3 linked regions of the Drosophila melanogaster genome follow. The protein of the gene in region 1 interacts with the protein of each later gene in a pairwise test. Each region holds a gene or a part of one and is shown on either strand. Other genes may lie near its edges. The genes, in order: ppk23, CG4853 and CG7231.

Region 1 (8,376 bases):
CAAAATCTGCATTAAACAATTTGTATTTAAATGTAAAGTTAATCATAGAATAATAAAAATATTTAATATTTTTTTCTGTGTATCCATGCATGTGAGATTAGTTATTTGTGGGCGTATGTTTATTGTCAACAAGTCCGTTAACAGGCACTGAGTGTTTTTTTTTTTTATTTTCTTTGCCTTAGTTGTGCCTACTTCTTTTTTATTTTCGTTGATTGTTCGCTATTTTTATTTATTTGTTCCCTTTAATTTAGTGTTGGTTTTTAATCCTTGGCGGCGGGGTCATAAAGCGATCGTTGCATCTTAATCCTAGTCATGGAAACGCCTCTTTTTTGCCAGTAAGGGAAAAGTACAAACTATGCGGCGGTTTCATTCACAGAAATATGCAAATGGTGGGGGGAAATCGCGCAAATTGAATGCGAGACTGGAAAAATACACATCCAACCCCCGGAAAAACGGAAAAGCAGACTCCGTTGCGTACTACGCGGCTTACAACTGCAATTACAACTACGACCACCACCACGCTCCACCTGTTGGCCGCTTTGGGAGTCCGCATAGCCTTCTCTCTCGCACACTCCCTTCCTCTCTCTTTTTGTCGCACGTCAGTGCTGTAAGTGTAGCTGTTTGCAAAATGCAATTTTGCCGCAATTCGTAACTATTTTAAAATTAAATATGTTGATTTTTAAGTGGTATCGGAAACAACAGATTTTCGGTTTTTTCAAAACATTACATTAATGAAAAAGCACTATAAACTAAATAAATGAATTAAAATTTTAACGTTAAGCCGACCGCTTAAAATCGAACAACACAGATTTACATATATAGTAGTGCACATTTTACCGACTTATTGCATATTCAACATTATTTGTCCATATAATTTAACAAACAAAATTGGCTTATTAAACCGGAAGCAATTAGAACACAATCCTAGCCATTTTAAGGGCTAATAGCGGGCAGCACTGGGGGGAATTAACAATGAGCCAGCAACGATGTTAACTGAAAAATGCTTTTCGCCTTTGCTGAGCTGCGACTGAATGCCGGGGATTTGGTAGTGGGTTTGAGTTTCGGGCTGGGAGCCACAGATGCAGTTGGATCTAAAGATGGGAGTTTTGCGGACGGGTCGGCGGTTAGTTTACCACCGCCCACCCGGCCATCTACCTGCTCCCCCAACCCATCGCTTTGTCAACCACCATGGTGCAGTGAACCCGCCGCGCCGCTAAGTATGCAACACAGAACTGAAGTTTAATTGGGAGCAAAACCCATCGAAACATTCCAGCGGCAGACGAAGGTATTTTACTAGCGGATATTTCTTTATTGCTGGTGCATATCTGCGTGATACAATATATCTTTATTAAAAAAAGAGAGAAGTTTGCTACATGATAAGAGTATTTGCTCTCGCAACAGCTGGTGCGCAATAATATTCATTGATGGTTAAGTATTTGTTGGTAGCTTACATTGAGTACAGCTGTGCTTGAAATAATTGTATTAAATTATTCAATTATTATTTGAAACCCTTTAAGCAATATATCAAAAGGCCAAATTGAAATATGTAGAAACACAGATATTTGAAGCACATAAAAATGTTAAATACATTTTTTTTTAAATTTTTTTGGTTATTGTTTTGTTTTGTTAATTCCATTACATTTCTCGTTCAAGGACTGGCAATTGGCATAACTTAAACATAAGCCACTACATAACTTTTTTTTTTAAATATTTTGTTACTTTTTGTTACTATTTAAGCTTCAGGGCATGTACTGAGAATGATCATAAGTTGTCCAGGAATTTTTCGTTTTGCTTGTATATCCATAGTCGGGTACAACTTTGGGTGTTTTATAATAGTTCTTTGTGTTGAGGGAGTAGTCCTGAAAAAGCGTTTTTGTGAAAGTGCAATCAATGATGCTAGTTTTTTAGAGACTTTTTAGAGACTAACCTTTTCGTGTTTTCTTTGATAACCACCCAAAGGATTTGGTCCTGCGGACTCCTCCGCCGGTTTCACTTTCAGCACCGCCGAAGTGGGCGTGTCTCCGATCCTTGGATTGTGGGATTTTAAACTCAGTTTCAGATCTATTTTGGGTGGCGGCTCCTGACGGATTTTCTCCTCGATTTCGTAAAGCTCTTGCTGAAATTTATTCACATTTTAGATGGAAGTTGATTGGAATATTCTATTGGCATAATTTACGCGATTTTTATAGACCATGCAGCAGGCTCGCAGCGTAAAATAATATATAATCTCCACACCCGAAAGCAGTGAAAATCCAAGAAAAAGGCTGGCAATTCCGCCAAAGGACACCAACAGATCAACCCAGCCGAAAAGGACCTCACGCTTATAGCGAATAATCGGCCAGGTGAGAAACTCGACCAGCACACCTAAGCTCTCCGGTCGATCCGACCTGAAATTACATCATACATCATTACATCCTCTGGTTACATCATAGATACACCTATTTGGAAAAACTAACATTTTGATCAGCTTATCGATGTTGAAAACGGTTTTCGAGCAACTGAGCTCGCATTGCAGGCAATCCTTGATGTTCGTAATGTTGCTCTTAAACTCATCGAGGCAATCGAAGTCCTTGATCGAGCACATAGGCACATTAGCTTTCGGCGTTAAATATAATAATAATATGTATGCAATAAGGTTTGTAAATATGTTAATTACACATGACAACTCACGTATGGGTTTATAAAAGGGCGGATTGCACTTGCACAACTTGATGGCCTTGTTCATGCGACACTGCTTCATGCAGGAGGAGAATGTGTAGGCGTCTGGAAAATAATTGAGCTTCACCTCGTCACTGAAGATGCATTTCCTCTGGCCAATGGACAGCTGGCGAGCATCGTCCGTGGTGTAGGTGTTCTTCTTGGATATCCTCACCTCCACCAACTGGGGTTCCGACCAATCGATCTGAGCATTGAAATCCGAACCGAAGTACTCCTCGTTGGAAAAGATAAAGATCTGAAGATGTGTTATTCAAATTCATTATTATGCGAAATATACTTGTATAGGAACTTTTATATTGGGATAACTACTATACTAGTATATAGTAGTATATGGTTATGAACAACTTACACGTGAAGTGCTGTTGGGTATGAAAAAGAGCGCCCACTTCTTGTCGGTTTCGTAGAGGTCATGAGGTGCTCCGGTCTTAACGCTACACAACAAAGTACATATACTTAATAAAACGCAGATCAAATTGGATTCCGATTCCGCGAAACTTACTCTTCAGTGGGCGTGGACTTGAAACGACTGTTGAAGGCGTAGCAAAAGCCGTGCTCCGTGTAAATTGGTTCGAAGTGGTCGCAACAGGGTATGTCCTCGTCGCGATACTTGCAGGACACGAAGACGTTCTTGCAGTCGATGTGACCCTCGAAAGCCCACTCCCGGATGGTGTGCGCATCTAGCAGGTTTTGCGGAATCGACTGCGACAGCACCTTGGCGTCCCGAACGTTCTCGAAGTTCAGGGAGGTCAAAATCCGCAGAAACGGGGTATACATTTGGGCCTGGGCCTCATCGTAGTTACTGTAATCACAAAATGTCATACACTTAATGTAAATCAACATATGTATGTACATAAAAGTAGTTGCATTATTGCGTAATGTTTAAAGAAATAGTTTCAATCTATAAGATATTTATGATATCTCCGTACTCACGCCAGTGTATTGTAAACCTTCTCGTAGGTCTTGTCGTGGTCAAACGCCGCCTCCGGACAGACGACGGTGGTGGGGAAGACCACGTTCTGGTTGTGGAAGTCGGTGTCGAGGCCAGTGATTGTCGGATTGGTCTGGAACTTCTCCCAGAGGCTCATAATGATGACCAGCGCGGTGACCGCTCCTATGGATGTGAAGCAGAACCACATGAACTTCTCGCCGATAGGTCGGCCCGATTCGGCAATATATCGCACTCCGTGGAGCGTCGAGTTCTGGAAGAACTCCTTCGTCTGGTAGATGAGGCTGCGCCGAAAGATGACCAAAGTCTCGAGGAAGCGCTGCGTCCTGGACTCCGGCGGATGGCGTTTCTCTTGCGGCATTTCCGTTTCAGGAACATTGCTCGCCGACGCGGCTTGGTAGTGAACTCAAAACTGATGCCCTAGCATCGGATCCAAAGTCAACATTACGACTGAACCCAGGGAAATACATCGAATGCCAAATCGATGCGTGTATCATTAGTCCACCTGCGTGTGGTTCCATTTGCAGGTCCTAAAAGCCTTTCATTGTTCACGTAATGCCGTTTGCATGCGTCTGATTGTTTTTTTGGATTGTGGTAGTTACCAGGGACTATCTAGATCTTTGTACCCTAAAACAATAATAGGTGAATATTAATGAAAGGTTTTTTAATTACAAAATATTGTAAAAATCAAGATACAAATTCTAAGTCATAGAAAATGTAAAATGATAATATAAGCTAATGAAACCCTTTTCATTTAAAATACAATTAATATTTAAACTATCTTTAATTCAAATAAGCTCTTAGAATAAAATATAAGCAAAGAAAATAGTTTTATATCAGATCAGCGTATTTTTAAATGCATTTCAGTAATGAGTCCACCAACTTTTCGTACCGACATCGACTAGATTGGGGTCAGTGATATGGCTAAAGTCCTGCGCAATTGTGGGTTAGTCCAGTTACCGAATGCAGCTGCCTTGGATGGATTGATGACTGGCTGGTTGGATGGCTTGAAGGCTTGATGGATTGCTGGCTGCATAAATGGCTGGCTAATTGGTCGGGGCTGTCTGAACAGCTTCCGGCGCCGCCTTGCATTCCGCAAAAAAAAATCACATATTCCTTTATAGGGATAGGGCTGTGCTGGCCACTCCACCGAAAGCCACTTCACTCCAAGGATCGGAGGAACTTCACAAGTTTTGTGTGAAATTCTGACACGGCCCGGACTCTCTTTGTTCGCTCTTTCGCCTCTCTTTTCCCTTTTTTATTCATATGATTTGTTTATTTTTATTATTATTTTTTTTTTTTTGTTTGCAATCGTTAAGTGTTCTCAAGTTTCACAAAGCGTCGAGGAATGGGTTTTGGATTTTTCGGGACTCTGGGTTTTGGGTTATGGCTGCTGGAGCTGGGGCAAACAAAAGAACTGCTGGAATGAGTTGACCCTGATGGCGGTGGTCAGATAATCGGAGCCACTGGCGCCAGTCGGTTGGAGGGAGGCCCTTTTACTCCGCTCCCCTTCAGTAACCGTGCGTCGTCTGGGCATTGCATATATTATATTATTATATAGCTGTAGGTTAAGGAACCACCATGTCTTTCTTACTCGATGTTTTTCTCATAATTAGATTAAACAAATAAAATGGGAACTTAATTTAGTTAGGCAACATATATACATTACATAATAATATTCTTTTGAAAAAACAAACCTTTCAAGACGATAAGAAAGCAGTATAACGTGTCATTTCAGCATTTCTGTAAATAAATATCTAAAAGCTAATAGCTTATATTATCCAACCCTAAAATATATGAAGAAATATCTAACTTCGTTATAGATTCATAACACCATAACTAGATTCCAAAACCAAAACGGAGATCGAATGCATAATGGATAAAAAATACTCCTTACTGGCATTGCGACCCACTTATGGCCAAAAAAACCCCCGCCCTCGCCCCCAATCCTTTCCCACGCTCCACCAGATCCCGCCTTATAGCCTCTCAATTTGTTTCGCTTTTAGTATTCTCCCTCGGTTCGGCTTCTTATCAGCGATCATTTGTCAAAGCCCTGCCATTGAAAAGTGGCCCGACCACTGAGCGAAACGGCAATTGCAACAAATTTGTTCGCTGCCCCAACCATCTACCCCAGCCACATGCCGCTTGCCCCACGTACCTGCCCCACCTGCCTCTGCTCCAGTTGACAAAAGAAGAGGAGCAGAAACCAAAAGACACCAACGAAGAAGCACTTCGATGGGCACGTGGCGAACCGATGATACCCTATGGTATCAGTCTCTAAAAATAATGAGCATGTTAAAAAAAGTAACAGTAAAGCAACTGATATTAGTTTAAATGTACCGTATTTACTGCATACCTCAAATTTGTAGAAGCTTACAGAGCGATGAGTATCTGAGCGTCGACTATCGCATACCTTCTGTTTTTGGCCTTCGTATATTATCCTTATGCTGAGAAAATGGTAAATTTCATGGGTCATGGGTATGTACCGCAATCATCTTACACCTGTTGTCAGTGCGTCCCCCAACAAAAGTCGAGCATACCCATTCTGATGTAGCGCTGCCACCATCAAGAGCACTCTCATAAATAAGAAATTGAGAGTAAACGAGACCTGGCCGGGATCGGGATCGTCGAGGGGATCCCCTGAGCTGGGGCAGAATCTATGGGTATACGTATACTGACTTCGATAAACATTTTTTGCTTTCCTTTCCCTTCCGTTGAATTCGTTGCATTTTATTTTTTTTTTTCCCGAGCCGAGCGGTTTCAGTTTCTCGTTTTGCATTGCATCGAACACCAAGATCGATCGGTGGCGAAGAATGCTCTTTTCAGTCGCGATCTTACCCAGCGTCCAGGTGTCCATTCCACTGTCCGTCCGTTTGTGTGATTAATGGTAATTGCTTTTATGGCTTTCTACGGCGCTCTTCTGCCACAATTTGTTGCGGTAATTTCGCTTTTAGTCGCAGTCCCCAAACTGATAGCCCCACCACACCAAAATGAATTGGGAAATTACATATTTAGAAAAGCACTTGATTCAATTTGCTGCGAACTATACAACTAATGAATTCCTTATCTGTTGCAAAGTACTTGGTAGCAAAGATTTCGTTTTTTATTTCACTTTTCACGATTTTTGTATTCATAATGTATAAAAAAAAATAATATACATGCGATTAACATTAAAAGGGACAATGGACGACACCGGCTATTCAGGGGGGTAAGTATGCAGTCGGCCTTTCATCAATCAGTCGCTGTTTCTGTTTCTGTTTCCGGGCCGATTCCGTTTCAGTTCCGATTGCCCAGCGGCGTGTCCCCCTCGTTATAGGACCGTTGATCCCGATATTGGCTGAACAAGCCGCGCACCTTGTTCAATGGTGTTTGGAATGACTGCGTCGCTGCCGTCAAGGCGGCAAAACTCAAAATCGGCGATGCCGGAGTCACAGCAGTTCCGACCGACTCGCCATTCGTCTCGGATGCAACTTGAATACTGGCGGCGGACGGAGTTCGCGCCAGACGCGGTGTAACTGGCGCCGTCAATGGTCCGGATCCGCGTCTGCCGCTGACCACGGCATTCAGCTTTGGCGTGGCAAGCAGACGCTTGGGATGCAACAATGGTTGGCTGTTGTGGCTAGAACTGGTTCCAGAATACCAAGGCTCCGGCTTTTGAACCTTGACGTTCCTTGGGGATGGGAAGCTTTAATATAAGTGAGCAAAAGTCATTACAAAAACCCTATCATGATGATAATAAACATACAGATTCATTTCAGCACAGGAGTAGCTCTCCATGGCAGTCTTCCAGGCGTAGACATGCGGCAGTGTTTCCTTATCAATGTCGACATTGGAAAGGGCATTCAGCACATCCAAATCTCGCTTGGTTGGCTCGTTTCTAGAATGTTAAAAAATGTAGTCTATAAAGAAACATTCTAAACTATGATTAATCTCACCCAAAAATAAACAACTCGTAACGCGGCTCCAAATCCATGGAAATACCTGGCGACAAGCTTTGCGGCGGCGTACGGAAGTTTTCCTCGTCCTCGCTGCTGCTTCCATAAGGCAGCGTAACATTAGTGCAGTCGAACTTGAAAAAAAAAAACAACAAAAATGTTTAGGAGAAGGACAACAGTACTAAACACTGATACTCACAAAGATTACTTGCTCATCGCTGTCGTAGTCCTCGTCGTCGCTTTGTTGACGGCGCCAAGCATCTTTCGAAGCGGACGCCACGACCCTCGATGCTCCCAAACTGGTCGATCCCACACCAAGCGAAGCGTGCAAGGCGGACGACCCTGTCGATCCCGAAGTATCCTGAAGCTGACCCTGAGACTGAACAACAGCAGCTGCCCGCAGCGACTTAGTGCGCTTTCGACGACTGGTCTTACGGCTGAGATTTGCGTCCCACAGACAGGCGCAACACTGCTCCGTCTCCCAGGCGGCGCAACATAGCTCCTCGGTCTTCAGAGTGTCTGGTAGATGCACGGCGGATGTCGGCGCCTGTTCCAGCATCAGCAATAGACTAGCGCACACGCAGCCCAAATGCTGTTCTCGACCACGCTCGTCGGCCAGCAGTTGCCGCAAACTTCGGAGCATCTGCAACAATTGTAGACGCATGGCTACGCTGACCTCCTGCGAGTGGGTCACATAGCTGGCCACCAGGTGGGCGATACGTGAATGCACCTTGCTAAAGTCCACGCTAATGAAGCGGGCATCATCCTAAAATGGTT
Region 2 (8,376 bases), on another chromosome or scaffold:
TTCAACAGGTAGGACACCACACTAGGCAACTGCTCGTATGGACAGTCCAATCGCTGCCATTTGCCAAAATTCCGCAGCTGGGTGCCCAAATGAAGGCACTTCTCAAAGTTTATGTATCCGTTGGCCAATCTGCAAACGGATTTGAATTCGGTTAATCTCGAAACAGAGCTCATTTATGCACAAACAAACTCACTTTGTTTCATGGCTCTCGTTAATGGCATGCAAATCTTTGAGGAACAGCGAGAAGAATGGGATGATGGCACGCTCAATTTCGTTGGCCATTTCCCTTTCCGAACGCCAAACAGCTGCCTTCATGGTGGATCTGTAGTTAAGAAAGTTCGAACTGGGATCCATTTGATGCTCCAAACCCTCGAACTTTGTCGTCTGCACTTTGGCCCACTATAAAAAATAGTAGTAAAATCAGACTTCACTCGTTTTACTTAACGAAAACTCACCGTTTTCTTTAGGCGAGCTATGGCAGTAAGATTCAATGCTGTTAGAATGGCCATCAAGCTGTTGAAGTTGCCTGTGTTAAAGCATTCCAGAGCTGTTTCCACCCAGAAGTCGATCATTTGTGCTCTCTGGGACTTTTTGCCCAACTAGGAACGAACGAATCATATTTTTTATTTGATTAATGGTTAATTTTTTTTTTAGTACTCACCTTTAATATTTCCGTTGCAGTCAAGTAGCTTAGCTGGTTGAACCACTGCACGTAACTGTCGATTGTCACCTGGCTGATGCAATTCGAACCCAAGGTGCCCGCCTTGGTTTGGCTTATGCAGGTCTTCAGCTCATCCTTTTCGAGGATTTCCACAAACTCCTCAAGACGTATTTGTGACAGATAGGCGTACTCGATGGCATAAAGTTGGTGAGCCAACTCGAAGGCACTGCTGCAGTTGTTTAGCACATTGTCTGTTTTGTAGACATTGGCGGCAAAGCGTTTCAGCGACTTAATACTGCTCTGACGTCCCAACGAGCTGGCCGACGATTGCTTGGTAAGCAGGTTATTTAGTTGACTTCGTCCATTTTCGTCCTTTTGCGCCAAAGCTTGGGGAATTCCATCCAAAAAAGCTGCCAATCCTTTTACATTACGCTTATTTTCCAGCTCCTGCAATAGCAGTTCATGGCTAAAGTCCCCGGGACAGGTGTCTAGCCATTCGTTCAAAAGTCGTAACACGTTTTCCTCCTCATTATCAATCTTGGCAATGATTTTGGAAAGCAGCTGGTGTGGTGGTGAAAACAAGCGGGAAGTGGTCAGAAAGGCAAACCGCAAATCCTTAGTATTATTATTGATAAGCAGGTTGACCACCGAATCCAGGTTGCCCTTCTTGGGTATGTCTTTGGCGTAAACTGGCGCTGTTTGGCAATCGAATGGCTCTGTGATCTTCAAGTGGGTGTTCTAATTTAGGTAAATTATTAGTTATTTAGCGACTGGCAAATCCGTTCAAACTTACTAGGATAGAAACCGCATCCGACTCATCTGCGGAGCTGGGAATGTCGCAGTACAAAGAGTCGGTTAAGGTGTCACGTGGATGTGACCAGGGTGCACTCATCGACACGCTGTGGAAGAGGCCATCGTGCCCGGAGTCGCAGCTGCTTATATTCGAGCTTTTGTCCCCAATAGTGGTGGATGATACAGATCCGATGACCTGATCGGATCCAGTAATAGCAGAGCTGCTGGACATAAGGGAAGCATTCGAGAAGGTTTGGTTCAGCTGCCGGCCCAAAGGATCAACTGGACGCTCGTCCGAGTCTGTGGCCTGCGATGCGAACGTGGAATTCGAAGTGGTTCGGTATTTGAGGGCATTCTCGGGAGTGGCACGCGCCAAGGCCGACTGCTGCTTGACAGGATGCCAGATCTCTTTCTGGTGCGACTGATGGTTAAAGTTTTCCTTGGTCTCCACGGTGCGTTCGTCTAGGATTTGTCCGTTGCGCGAGACCAGCACCTCCTCCGTGGTGGTCAGAGAGGACTTGACGGTCAACGAGGTCTCTACCTCGATGGGCTGTTGGGCCAATCCGGCGCGGAAGAGCAATTGATTCAGGTGCTCAACCGATGGCATCTGCCCCTCCAGCAAAGCTGCCTTTATGGCACTGGCATCATCCGCCGGCAGCCCATCCAGCTTCACCGGCACTCCGTTGACCAGCAACACCTCCTCCTGCTGCAGCGAGGATGAGGTTTCGCAGTCCACGATCTTGACATCCTTGCCGAACAGGGACTCCACAGCGTTTAGGATATCTTCGTCCATGCTTGGGGCGGGGTTATCGGGGATGGGGAAAGTGCAGACACACGGGGATCTCTGGAGAAACGTGACTATTTGGCTGCGATGGTTGTTAAATGCGTTATGACCACAGGGGGACTCTTTGGATTAGTCGCAATGCACATGCACCACTATCGCGTACATTTCTGGAAAGGAAGGGGCAAGGGGAAACCTCGATTAGCACACACACAGTGGGAGAAAGACAGGTGGCCGGGGGCTTTGGTTTCGTGCGCTCTGGTGACAACGCCCACTTTCCCAAAAGTGGGCTGGTCTCTTCTGATCAGAACATCGCTTCCGGAGCAGACACACCTGCAGGAACACTGTTGCGCGGTGGCCTTCCATCGGACGCACTGCCGCCTTTCGTCACGGCATTCCCCGCCTGCTGCTCATCAAATGTCCGCCGTTTTTTCTGCGCCTAATATAGTTTAATTCGCCAATTGACTTAATTTATTTCTATTATTGTTGTCTCGGTACAGCGATACCATCGATGTTTACACAAATTTGGCAATAATCGATATCCCCAACTGGGGAAATCATCGATTACTTGCTTTCTTGCTGTAAATATCCGCATCTGGCAACGCTTTTAACAGGTTTTAAAATGTCAAGCGTTATTTCCGTTACTATCCCCAAACATTTTTTTAATTTACCCGAATATCTAGATCTTCTTGTTTGGACATAAAGGTCTGGTTATTGTTCACATCAAATTGCTGAACTCCTCTAAAGTTCGTTTAGTGCCCAATTAACCCGTGAATAGTTTTAAATTTCCAAAAGATTCTTGTTTATTCCTCTTTAATTTGTTATCTGTAAATATTTAAGCAAAGCAATGCATTGCATTACTTTCGTTTAACTACTCTAATTTAGCAGCATTATAATTAAGAAAAGACTTTTATTTAAGAAATGGACGCAACCAACGCCAAGTCCACATCACAAACTGCACAGTAAATTTTGCCATAAATTTCGGATTCCCCGCTTAAACCACGGGATAGGAGCACTCCTCAGCAATGAAGCAGTAGTTTTTGCCGCGAGGCAGGCGGAAGTAGCCCTTTTCGCCCCAGGTGTCGTCCCAGGAGTTCTTGACGATCCAGTAATCCTGTCCTTTCTCCGATCCGTAACCGACGACCAGAATGGAGTGGTTCGGCTCGCCCTTGTTGCACTCATCGTCGTTATAGATGCCACCGGCGTAGTTCTTAAGAGTCTCCAAACCATTCACCGAACAGGCAACTGGTCCCAGAGTGGCCACCACCTTCTTCAGCTGCTCCTCGTCCTTGGGCGGAATAGCGGCGAATCCCTGGAGGGTGGCTCCGGACTTGCTGCCATCGTACTTGCACGTGCCCTTGTTGTCAATGTAGGGATAGGCCCCCTCCTGGGACACACCCTTTTGCACCTCATCGATGAAACAGAATGCGGCCTCCTGGAAGCCACCATCGCAGCCATTCAGGCCAAAGTCCTCCACCGGACCACAGTCGACCAGATTCTGCTCAGAGAGATTGGGCAGGCTGCCGGTCTTGCGGAAGGTGTGTCCCTCAATGGCACCAGTGGTGGCAAAGGCCCAACAGGAGCCACAGGTACCCTGGAATTTGACTGGTGTGACACCGCCATGCTCGCGCCAATCGAAGGCATCCGGGATGGGCTTCGCAGGCAGGTTGACCAACTTCAAACTGGCAGCAGCTCGAGCCCTGGGTGCAGATATAGAATTGATAAAATCCTATGCCGGCTGTGCAAATGGTTTGTTAGCACTTACTTAGCCTCCGGACTTCTCTTCAGACCGGTCAATTGACTAAGGAACTCAGAGTGGGTCAGATCGGCGAAGGCGTTCACGGCCTGCTTGAAGGTGTGCACTCCTTGGGCAAAGGCTGCGTTTCCGGCTTCCACCAGGTTCTTGGTGGAAGCGAAGGCACCTTCATGAAGAGCGCGATCAGCGGCGGAGAGATAGGTCTTTCCAGATTGGCTCTGCAAATCGGTTGAAGTTTTACTTCTACCTTTGAAATTGATCAATGCTGCCTATCTCACCAAGAAGTCACCAAAGTCCTGGACGTTTGAGAGCAGCGGCACCTTGGGCACAGCCTTGGCAATGTTGCCCACGGCATTCTGAACGGCGCCGGCCACATTTTGTAAAGCTCCACCCACTCGATTGTTGCCCAAGCCTCCGAGTCCACCTCCAAATCCGCCTCCGAGTCCACCTCCAAATCCGCCTCCAAATCCACCGCCTCCGAATCCCTGGCCAGAGACCACAGCCACCAGAAGTGGAAGAACCAACAGAAGCTTCATACTGATCTGCCAAAAGACGAAACTATTAGTTCCGACTGGTTTTGTAGTCGAAGGGTGAAACGGCGATGCACTAATTATATTTGATTGCATATGATCGGCTTATCAGCCGATTTGCTTGTCTATTGCAAATACGAGATACTATTGCACAAATTTTTCTGATGCGAGTAATCGCAAGTAATTCCCAATAGACTAACCTAACGCGCTCGCACGGTCCACACAAATGTTTTTGTCTCGACCGTCGATCGGGGCTTATATAGCCATTAGACTAGTAGGTTTCAGGCTATAAACTGGCCAACCTCGCCCCCACCCGATCCATTCAAATCCATAAATCCCAAGTCCAGTGATTCGGAATTATACAGAAATCGAAACGCGTTGATTATACCATGCATATCGTATACGAGTATGTGCTATATCTGTTTTGATGTGTGCGATCCGACCGATCCAGCGATATTCGCCGTGTGGTTTGGGAACTCGTCTCGGTTCATTAGCGCCATGCAAGATGGTTCGGAATATGGGAGAGTATTAGAATTTAATCTATTTTGGTCCAGATTGGGTGTGTTTAATAAAGTGGATAAATCTTGATTATTTGACTTTTATGTGATAGAACGATTACGCATTTGGGCTGCTTTCTATCTGAATGCATTCGTATATTTGATCGCACGGATTCTCGTTTGCAATTAACACTTTTAATCACTTCTCAAGTCACTTTTTGATAACGTATGCTTTCAGGAAAAACCGGAACTCGACGAAAACCCGTTGTTAAATTCGTGTAAATTAGGTATTACGTGAAGTGCATGGAGTATATTTTGAAGCTTAAAAGCAAAACCCGCTTGAGTTCCGTTTCCAATTAATTATAACACCGTTGAGTGACGATCTGTATCGGTTCAAGCGATTATTAATTATGTCAATCAACCTTTGTGGACGATGGACTTGGATCCACTTTTTTGGGGCCATCCCAATTCCCGATCTTTTATAGCCTACCCAATTTGTAATAGTGTCGTGACTAATTAATGTGTTTTGTATGGATTGACATAGTCATGCATGCATATTAAACAAATATATTAATTTGCATTTTAATTTAACACGTCGGTTCCACAATTTTTTTCGGGTTTTGAAACAGTAGCTACGTTAAAATGAAATCTAAATAGCTTTGCTAGAATACTTTTGAGATGTAATAAATTCGTCGTTTGTGCCTTGGGGGATCCCCAATCAGTTTGGGAAAACAAGTTTTTTATCTAAATTAGGTGACTATGGATTAATTATGTCAACTAGGCAATGAATATTCATCAAGTTTCTGCTTATTTCTGGTAAAGGGCCAATCATAGGATTTGTTTTCAATTAAATATTGTCTGCACGTGTTTTTCTATAAGAGATTCAAATTAGGAATGATTGTTTTTTTTCTAGAAATATTTATCTTCAATATTTAGTAACTTGGGAAACTGCTCAAGCACTCATACTGCTCATTCGTCATTGATTGTAATACATACACATACATATATGGGAAACTAGTATCTTTGATAAATTCAGAAATAAATTTAAATAAAAATGGGTCTTGATTAATAGCAAAAGAACCAACAAACAGTAGCTCCATCTGAACTGCCAGAGAAACAGGTGCTATAATTCGTTGAGTATCAAACTGGTTAATAAAGAACTTAATTTAAAGTTCTTCAGCTACAATCAAACAATTTATTTGCATTGCCTTACTTGTTTTATATCTGGCACAGAAATTAATGTTTTAAATTAAATAAGTTATTAGTTAAGCATTAGTTAGTGCCATTAAGCACGCCATATATATATGTTGTAATGTTTGATTAGCGAAATTTATCAAAAACTCAATAAAATATAGCACGCGAAAAAAACTGGTTGCATTTTGTAAATTTGTAAGCAAGATTAAATTATGTTTCGTCCTTCTCCAAAGTAAATTAATGTTTTTGTACCTAATTTTTGTGAACTTCATGTTCAATTAATTCGAATGAAGGCCAAATTTAGTTATTAGAATGTAAGCTATTTTATAGCGAGTTAGTGCTATGTTTCTTAACTTATATTTCAGAAATTCCTTGACTTTTCTAATGTTTTGCTAAATATAATTCGCATCTATAAGATGTCAACGAAACAGATTGTCTTACGAACATATACTTATTAAATTTAAATAATAAATAGGTATTCCTTGGCATCTATCCACTCTTGCGATGTTTGGCTAGTCGGGGGCGCGACTCCTGGGCTTCGTGAATGGGCGTGGCCTCTGGCAGAAAGATAATGGGTTTTCGCAAATCAACCGGAGGTTGCGCCCAATTCTTCGTCATAGGGAAGCGCTGAGTGCACATATATGAAAATGCATAGAATTAACAAAACATCTTGGCTTCTCCGAGGAATACTTACCCCACTGGGTCCATTTACAGATCCATGTCCCACCTGGGGAAGGGCCACTGAAAGAGCCAAAGTGGCCAGGAAAGTTAAAGCCAGGAGTACTTTCATTGTGTGGTTAGTTGCAAAGGATATGGTTTTCAAGGCAAGCGTTTGGATTGCACTGATACTGCATACCGGCGAGATTCCCTTATATAATCGCACCAAGTCGGAACTTTCGCCAGCGCTTTCAACTTCCGCAACTTCCGGGTTTTATCTTCCAACTCAATCGCATTCGGGCTGTTTAAAAATACTCCTCTTATCGGCTGGCACTTTTGCTTTCTGGAGCCGTCGTTTACCCCAGAGATTTATCCTGATTGGGGCATTCCCGGCGAGCAGTTACTTACTGTTCTCGCTTATTCTTGAAGTAGAAAAAAAAAGAAGAAGGAAATAATGAGCCCAAGAACCTGGAGAGCCAAAGAACCATGGAACCAAGGAACCAAAGAACCTTTTTTATATTCGTTCGTTGGACCCTGCTATACATTTCAAGGTTGTCTTGGCATCTGCTGCTGCTTTTGTTGCTGCTGGCACATACCACACACATATATATATATATATATACATATATGGCCACACATATGTACACCTCGTTCTGTGTGTGCTTCTTTCATTACCAACTTTTAGCAGAGCAACAACAACGCACAACAACATCAGTCAACAGAACTTCAAACGAAGTCAGTCGTCTGCGCATGCGCAAAGTCGCAGCTCAAAATGAAGATGAAGATGAGGATGAGGACGAAGCTGGGAATGGAGACCACGAACGGAGCAGCAGGTGGGCAGGGATGGGGGTTCTTCGACAGGGGCCCCTTTTGGATCTTTTGGTTAAAAGTCGCAACTCCATCTTCATCCAATTGTTGGGCGAACGACACCGACACACATAAAACTTGATGTGATGCGTCTGCGTCTCGGAATCCTCTTTAAATTAAGAAAGATGATTTGCAGATTTGAATGCAGACGCGGACATGGGGCAGCATGATGTAAGCCCACCGAGAAATTTTTATTTATTTATTCCTCGGCGGCCGCTGGCTTTCTTGGAGCGAGTGCAATAAAATTCCATGGCACACACTTTAGTTTTTTTTCTTCAGTTTTCAGTTTTTAGAGCCTAAGCAGTTAATTTACGATTATTGGCTTTCATCTTCGTTTCGACCAAGCCAAAATAAATCCCATTGACTTGTTTATGATTTGCGCTTTGGCCATGGTCAGTTCGAGCCGTTATGAGATATTTCTGGGATATGGGGATTAAATTCTATTATTGAAGAGTTTTACGATCGATTGCACATGGGATCTCTTTGAAAGAACTTAGGTGCCTTAAAAGATCGTATTTAATCGCTACAAATATTGTCTACTCATGTTTCCAAGCAATCTGAAACATTAATCCCCTATTGTCCCTTAATAATATCCATCATCTTATTTACTTATTACGTTTATTAATCAAGAGTTTCCTTTT
Region 3 (8,376 bases), on another chromosome or scaffold:
TTCTTGAAGTTTAAACTGCGCATGCCCAAAGTATTTATATTTATATAATAATGCATAACATTTGTAGAGCGATATTTAAGATTTTAATGCAGATTGATCTGAAGTTATATAGAAATAATATTGAACAGAGAACATAGGTAGCGAGAATTGTTGCTCATTTACATAGGTAGGCCGAAAAACTAAAAATTATAGTTGTTGTTTTAAGTCTTGTACAAATAACGCTAGCACTGCAAAGATTACGCATATCCTATGTACAAATGTCGATCAGTGTAAGATCTAAATACCTAGATTATAAAGCACAGCTGTGAACCCCGGAAATATTTCCAAAAATTCCTTAAGATAAATGAATAGAAAAAATTATTAAAATCAAGTGATCAAAGAGGGACTTTCTGAAAATGGCAGTAGTTACTAAAACTACGTATGGAGACCCTGAAAAAAAAATATCCAAACATATCTTCATATAAATTTTAAATTCGAAATCCAATCAATTTATACATTTGTTACTATTAAACTTTACATTTGTCTTTGCCTTGAGAAACATATTCCCTTAAATAAGTTTCTTTAAATCCACACAATACACTTGAATAATTAAATGTGTTTTAAAATTCATCTTTTTTATATAAGATGACTCGTCATCCAAGGCGATTTCCAACAATTCCACCTAAACGAAAATAAAACTGTCAACACATAAAAGTATAAGTTTTAATTATGTTTTCTGGAAGTTGTATAAAAATTGCTCTGATTACCGTACTTATATTAATTACGTATATTATAACCGCTGCATCCAGCTGGACAGAGCCCAAAAACAAAGGCTCATGAAACTGAAGCCAAACAGGGATTTGAAGGTGCTGGCTCCGTTGCCGGGATTGTCCAGGTTCAATTGTGAGGCCAGCTCCTCCGGCACATCCAGATAGACTCTATCCAAGCCGAAGCTGAAGATCAGTTTGCGCAACTTATCCACATCCACATAGTCACCGGCAGACGACCAGATGGTCAGGGTGCTCTCGTTTGTCTCGTTCACCGCGGCCACCAGTCGATGCAGTTGCTCCTCGCTGTTGGCGGCAATGCCAGCGCGCACGGGAAAGGTTATGGCCTGGCCAGTGGATAGGACATTGTTCTCGCTCAGCGTTTCCAGCATGTCATCACACTGCTGCTGCGTGTACTCGCCATCCCGGAAGTCGGCTCCCCAGTTAGTTGTCCAGCCAATGGAGAGCACTGCCTGTTTGTAGCGCATACAGCCGGCGAAGAATCGGTCCGCATCAACGGGTACGGTTCTATTCTGTTCCACGGGACCACTTAGAATATCGGCGTTTATCCACACAGGATACGTGGTAGGCTGCACAACACAGAGATATTGTTTAATTTGTTCTGATATCTGAGATTCGATGACCAAACTTACGTTCGGAATATTCACGTCCAGAATGTCCAGGGAACCCTCGAATACCTCGATCGACTTGAAGTCGAGCTTAACGCCCTTTTTTTGGTCCTCATGATCACGGTTGAAATTAATGATCTGGTTGAGAAATTCCGACAGCGTAAGATCAGAGACATTGGCCGGCGGATGGGCCATTATGGGCATGTCCTCGCCATCGCCATTCAGTTTGCCCAGCACAATGTCCGCTTCGATGAAGTCAATGCCACCTTGGGCAGGGAAATGATACTATTGATAAGTTGGTTACACGCGCATATTTGGCCAATGATCTTACTGGTTTCGGTTAGGACCTCGTCCAGCAATTGCTGGCTGTTGACGGCATGGGCCCAGGTAATGGCAGTGAGATTTGTGCCCCATACCTTCATCATATCCGACTGTTTGAGGAATATATATTCGATCTGGGAATCGTCTGGCGCTGTCTGCTCGACCACCACTTGGTACTGATAATTGCTGGCGTTCAGAGCAGACCCATTGATTTTGGCCACGAGCACTGCGAGTGGACGTGAAATAGACGGCATTAATATTCCACAATTGGACAATGGGACGCACAGAGGGCATAATATGGCAGATACGCGTAGATAAGCCCATTTGCCTTCCTTACCACCCTACCAGCGAGAATTGATACGCAAACACATGCAATCCAATCCAATGTGAATTTGTTTACTTCGCAATGAGCGTGTACATATGTATGTGTGCGCGAATGGACTCTAATTAACTCCCTTTGTTATGCGATTTTTATGGAATGCAAAGCGCGTTGTGCCCTTCTTCCGCTTTCACCGAATGCTGCAATGCAACTGCACATCAATAATTCTCTTCAATCTGTCAGCTGTGCAATGGCGCAAGCGTAGAGAGCAGACGTGAAGTGAGAATGGCGAGAAATGTGCTTAACTTCAAGAGACCGACGCTCATATACCCTAGCTCTAAGAGTTTACATGACAACTTATTGACAAAAAATAACAAAATGTTGCTATTTTACGTTTTACCCCCTTTTTGCGATTGTGTAAATGTATTATCAAGTAATGTTACCCAACACACTCGTCAGATTTAAATGTTTTAATTGAGTACAGGAGCATCGACTATCAGATACCTGTTAGTTTTTTTAAGTTATGTCAAAACTAAACTGTCTGGATCCTAATGTTTCCAAGCGACCCAGGGGTCGTATGTACATGAGTTAAAAACATTAAAAAATGATGATATGTAATGATTTTGAAAAGTGCAAAAATACGAATTACCAAATAGTAGCGTTGTAAGTAGAAAGGTAATTTTTGAGTCCATTTTTTCTATAGGTCTAAGGGCACTTGATCATGAACTTGGGACCGCCACGGTTAGAAACGAACTAAATGGCAATTTTTCAGTTTGGCTTATCGATAGCATTTGCTGATTTAATTAAACATTGATTAAGTATTGTAAATTGGTAGTGACAATCTATCCGCATATCCCAAAATCTAATCTTTTAAGTGGTCACGTTATCCGATGAACTCGCGGACTAGTTAAACTAGTTACTACATTATAAAGAAGAAAGAACAAACAAACGTTTTTATGGAAATTATTACCACACATCTTGTAAAATCATATATTTCATTAAGTACGATTTACATTTATTTGCTTATTAAAAGATAAAATGTTATTTAAATAAGTTTAGACCGCGGTCTCTGTTAGAAAAGCGTTGCATTTTAACATTTCTGTTAAATGAGCAGCAGTAATAGAAGAGAAAACGTAAGAGAGCGGTTCAAAGAGCGGCACTAGAGTGACCATGCGGCGGTACACAAGAAATGCGGCCAATAAGCGAGAGCACAAACTTTACCGAAACGAGCGCTAGAAGAACTGGCCACACTACACCCCCGACACTCAGTTTTAGTTCGAAAATTTAACGGCTCTGGAACCGTTCGGACGTGTCGCTCTCGGTGCGCGTGTGTGTGAGTGGCGAATATAAATATCGGGGGAAAAGCTCGCACGTGCGACGCTTGCGAAAAAAAAAATTGAAAATATATAGTAAAATTGTTGTTTTATTTATGAGTCGAACTAATGTCCCGTCAGTTGACTAAGGACAACGCCAAGAAATAAAAAATAGTTTTAGGAGAAATAGTTTCACGACTTTATTCTTTGGATCTCAGCTTAAGACTAAAAATCAAATGCAAATTGGATTGAGGAGAAGCCTCAGTATTTGAACAATATTTGTATTTCGGGAGAGCCTCGCTCTTGGGTTCTTAAGATTAGGTAGCGTTGAAAGAGGGCAGTCAAATCTGCTTAGGTCAGGCTTTAGGATGTTTACAAGAACGGCTGCGCTGCCAAAGATAAACGAATGCTGCGCAGCTGGGATACGTTATGGAAAATTACTAGAGTGCATTACTGATTTCTTTGAAATAATGGAAGTGGCTGGTTTGGACCACCCAAATACGTCACTCCCCTTCCCTTAAAGAGAAGCCTATACTTGGGCTGGGATTGATGGATATAGTGTGGGAAATGGAGTTTCTTCTATTTCTGTTTGTTGTGGTGTGTTTTGATTTTGATTTTTTCTTATTTTAAGTTTTGCATACAGCATCATAAATGGTTTAAATGATACATATCTTAAATATGAGTACAACAAAATTAGTGCGATTATTACAATGATCATTTGTATGTAAAGTGTAATATTGTTCTCTGAAATCATCTCAACAATGTCGTTGTGTTTTACAATTTTTATTTTTGTTATATTAAGTGGTGTGTATAGTGATGTCAAATCTATTTCTGGTTCTAACAGATTTTCACTTAAAATTATATTATTGATTTCTATTTTGCATTGCGTTACTCTTATCATTTTGTTTCCTTCTATTTTTATTTTATTAATTGAATTTTGGCAATTTTGGTTAAGAATTGTTTGGGTTAAGTTCCAGGTTACAATTGTGTTTGGTTCTATGTATTTTATTATTTCGTTCGTGTGTACTGGCTTAAAATTACAAATTGGATTTAAGTGTTTAATAATATTGGTGACACATTCATTTTTTACTTCTTTATTTTCGGTATTATAAACTTTATTTTCTTTTTCAAAATATGATTGTGTGTCTGTGTAATCTAGCTGATAGCCGTTGGAGTCTGGGTAAGGAATTATTTTAATTGTGCTTATTAGTGAAAGGTAAATGGGTATGTGGGATATGATTAATACTTGGTTATCATTGTAGTTAATCCAAGTGGATGTTTTAATGTTCAAAATGTTTTGGCTGTTCACATTTTCAAGTTTGTCGTAGTTTAGTAATTTGGGGTTAAACAGTCCAAGTCTGGAAAGCTGCATAGCCATTTCCAAATCTTCTATGTATTCCGTCATTTATCAATCGTATGGCGTCGTTGAGTTCATGTAATTTTACTGAGTTATGGACGTTGATTTCAAGTTTTTTCTGTATTTCGACTCGATCATTTTCATCTAGTGTTCCAAATAGGTATTTAAAACCTGAACCCACAATGTTAATAAGACCCCGTTTGTTTCTATGTTTCAGGGTTATTCCGGCTAGTTCTCTTTTTATTTTATTGTATAAAAAATTGATCTGGGGTGCATGGTAATCGGTTCGTAGTCTTTGCTCAAAATAGTCAACCACGATGTCTATTTCAGTTAAATTGATTTTTAAGGAGTGATGTTCAAAGGAGGATGGTATCTGTACTGGCTTATCAGAAAAAAGGAGGTATCCGTGGTTGGTGTCAATATTATTAATTTGAATTTGTTGTCCATGAACAGCTGTGATCAGTATAAACAATAGTGTTATCGGGTACCAGGTGCCTGTGAAATTGAGAGTTTATTATTTTTCTTTTGTTTTTTGAATTGTGTTTTGTAGTAGTGCGTAACTCTATTTCTATTAGTGATTTTGTAATGGTCAGGGTCTGTCTGTTCTACATTTTTGGTTGGTTTAAATGGGTTTTCTAATTTGCCTTTCTGTAGTGGACCTTTTCTGTAATTAGTGTCAATATTAAATTCCTGTCTGTCTTCATTTATTTTGTCTATTTTCTTCTCTTTAATTTTTTGAGTGTCTAATATGGGATGCCCAGCGTATAAGAAAATTTGAGCAGGTGTCTGTCCAGTAGTGTCATGTTTAATTTTATGGTTGTATGTGTAGAGGATTGTTTCTATCTTGCTTAATTTTACTTCTTCATCATCAGATGAATTGATTATACGAATTTTTTCATTTATTGTTTTGTGTAATCTTTCGACGTCTGCTACCCCGTTTTTTGCTGTATTGAGCTGTAATTCGACTTCTTCTTCTTCAAGCCATCGCTTTAAAGCTAAACTGGAGAAAGCTCCGTCTCTGTCTGCCTTTAATAATTTGGGTTTACCTAGTTGATTAAAAATGCGCATTAATGCGTTTCTGCATTCTATCCAATCCTTAGTTTTAATTTGCTCAAGTGTAGCGAATTTAGAATAAATATCAATGCAACTGATGTAATGTTTTCCCTCAGATGAATAAATATCTACTACAAATTTTTCTCGGCAATGTTCCGGGTTGGGTGTGATTTTTAAAGGCATTTTGGTGTTTCTATGTTCTGTTTTGGCCAAATTGCATATGTTGCATTCGTTTATTATATTCTGAATTAATAGTTGGCTATTTGGAAAGAAGTGATTTTCTTTAAATAATTTTGTCATTTTCTGTATACCAGGGTGTAAAAGTTTTTCATGTGATTGAAGTATGATTTCTTTGAATTCGGCGTATGAACCAACGTTCTTTAATAGGAAAAGACTGCGAATTACTTTTGTGTAGGTGGTATTAACAATTTCTATGTGTGCTCTTTGAATAATTTCAAAATCTACATCGCTCTCAATATAAATGGTAATGTTTCTATGGATAAAGTGATCGAGTAAAATTTGTTTGGCCTTTTCAAGTGTCATTACATCATATTGAATTGTGGTAATGGAGTTACCGAATATTTTTGAATGCTCTACTTTATTTTTATCGGATTTAATAAAGATTATTTGTTTTTTGAAATAATTTATTGGTTTTTCTGTTAAATGAATAAGGTTGCTATTGTCCTCTTCTGCACTATGTTGAGTAGCTTCACTATGATGATTTTCTTCAATTTTAATTCTTGATAATGCATCGGCAACTGAATTTTCTTTCCCTTTAATATAATCTATTTTAAATTGGTATTCGCTTAATCTAACTCTCCATCTTTCTAACTTAGCATTCGGTTCCTTTAAGTTATGAAGCCATCTAAGAGGTTGATGGTCACTGGCAATGAGAAATTGTCGTCCTAGTAAATAATGTCGAAAAGTTTTTGTGGCCCAAACTATGGCAAGTAATTCTTTTTCGATAGCACTGTAATTTAATTCGTGATCGTTAAGTGTTCTACTAATAAAAGATATAGGATGACCGTTTTGAGAAAGGACAGCCCCGAGGGCCAAGTTACTTGCATCTGTGGTTAAAACAAATTTCTTTTCAAAATCAGGTAATTGTAAAATTGGGTCACGAATTATCAAAGCCTTAAGTTTTTCGAATGCCTCTATGTACTCAAGTTTTTGTGTATCTATCTTTGCTCCTTTTTTTAAGCAGCTGGTCATGGGTTTTGCTATGTCTGCGTAATTTGGAATAAATTTGCGATAATAACCTGTTAATCCAAGGAAAGCTCTTATCTCTTTTACTTTTGTCGGAATTGGGTATGAAACTATGGCTTTAACTTTAATAGGATTTGGTTTAATACCATCAGGGGTAACTATGTGACCAAGAAAGTTAGCTTCCTTTTTTAAGAACTCACATTTGTCTAGTTGCAATTTTAAATTTGCATCTGCAAGCTTTGTAAAAACTAATTGTATTGAATTTAAATGTTCTGTAAGGGATGTTGAAAAAATTATAATATCATCCAGATACACCAAACAGTGTTTGTTAAGCAACGGTCGAAGGATATTATTCATGCACCTTTGAAAAGTAGCGGGTGCATTCCTAAGGCCAAATGGCATTCGAAGGTATTCGTAATGACCGCTTTTTGTGGAGAATGCAGTTTTAGAAATTGATTCTTCGTCCATTTCTATTTGATGAAATCCCTTTGCCAGATCGATCGTTGTAAAATATTGGCATTTACCCAGTTTGCCAAGAATTTCGTCCATATTTGGAATTGGATATCTGTCAGGTATGGTTATTTCATTTAGCTTTCTATAATCAATTACTACCCTGTACTTATTTACGCCAGAAGCATCCGGTTTCTTTGGTACGACCCAAGTAGGACTATTGTATGGAGAATTACTTTCCCTAATTAATCCCTGATTCAGCATTTCCTGTACTTGGTTTTCTACTTCGATTTCGTGTGTTTGCGCAAGTGGGTATTGTTTCGAATAAATTGGGGAGTTATGTGTTGTATTTAGTACGTGTTTAATTGTATTTGTAAATGTTAATTTCTCTCCCTCCTTATATTCAAGATTTCTAAATTTATTTAACAAGCCTTTTAACTTAAAAGTTTCCTCCTGATTTAGGTGATCTAATCGAAACTGTGAAAAATCTAATTTTTTTATTGATTCCTGATCTGAGCTTGCAATTGATTCTGGTGTCCTTTGGATATACAAATTTTGGTTTCTTTCGGATTCTGAAGTAATTAATTTGTATGTTTGATCAAAAAGGGTAACTGTATCATTTTTGTAATTAATAACTGATTGAGCATTTTTCAACAATTTTCTGCCAATTAGCATATCGTAATTATTAGAAAATCTGTGCACATAAAATGGTTCGGTTTTTTTGAAAATACTATTTCTGGGTAACATAATCAAGTCGTTCAAGGTAATAGGGCCATTTGATGTTAAAACTTCACATCTACTATTTTGAATGGGAAGACGAAATATATTTTCATTGATCATATTAATTGTTGATCCTGTGTCTAGAAGGCATTTGTATGAGCGCCCTTTGTATACTATTTTTATGTATTCGTATTTTCCGGGGCTGTTAACCGAAAATTTTCGTTTAGTTCAGAATTATTTTGGTTTTGTTTGTTATTAATTT

The links.
Region 2: the proteins of ppk23 (region 1) and CG4853 interact in a two-hybrid assay, tested with the Drosophila melanogaster proteins (one large-scale study listed by BioGRID).
Region 3: the proteins of ppk23 (region 1) and CG7231 interact in a two-hybrid assay, tested with the Drosophila melanogaster proteins (one large-scale study listed by BioGRID).

The regions. Positions count from the first base shown.
Region 1 is NC_004354.4:17,565,111-17,573,486, forward strand, and holds ppk23 (pickpocket 23), read right to left. Parts: upstream 4,119-8,376; 5' UTR 4,026-4,118; coding exon 3,649-4,025; intron 3,518-3,648; coding exon 3,218-3,517; intron 3,150-3,217; coding exon 3,068-3,149; intron 2,954-3,067; coding exon 2,457-2,953; intron 2,388-2,456; coding exon 2,177-2,387; coding exon of another isoform or gene 2,135-2,176; intron 2,117-2,134; coding exon 1,928-2,116; intron 1,860-1,927; coding exon 1,740-1,859; 3' UTR 1,650-1,739; downstream 1-1,649. Other genes in the region: Ankle2, read right to left, coding at 6,941-7,349, 7,410-7,541, 7,600-7,733, 7,799-8,365.
Region 2 is NT_033778.4:17,508,608-17,516,983, reverse strand, and holds the start of CG4853 (uncharacterized protein), read right to left. Parts: upstream 2,768-8,376; 5' UTR 2,568-2,767; exon of another isoform or gene 2,405-2,567; 5' UTR 2,247-2,404; coding exon 1,455-2,246; intron 1,400-1,454; coding exon 662-1,399; intron 600-661; coding exon 456-599; intron 400-455; coding exon 194-399; intron 130-193; coding exon 1-129. Other genes in the region: CtsK2 (cathepsin K2), read right to left, coding at 3,229-3,934, 4,000-4,208, 4,269-4,616; CG34193 (uncharacterized protein), read right to left, coding at 6,701-6,838, 6,906-7,001.
Region 3 is NT_033779.5:7,979,099-7,987,474, reverse strand, and holds CG7231 (uncharacterized protein), read right to left. Parts: upstream 3,530-8,376; 5' UTR 3,237-3,529; intron 2,935-3,236; 5' UTR 2,708-2,934; coding exon 2,665-2,707; intron 2,201-2,664; exon of another isoform or gene 1,982-2,200; intron 1,923-1,981; coding exon 1,707-1,922; intron 1,642-1,706; coding exon 1,391-1,641; intron 1,337-1,390; coding exon 770-1,336; 3' UTR 690-769; downstream 1-689.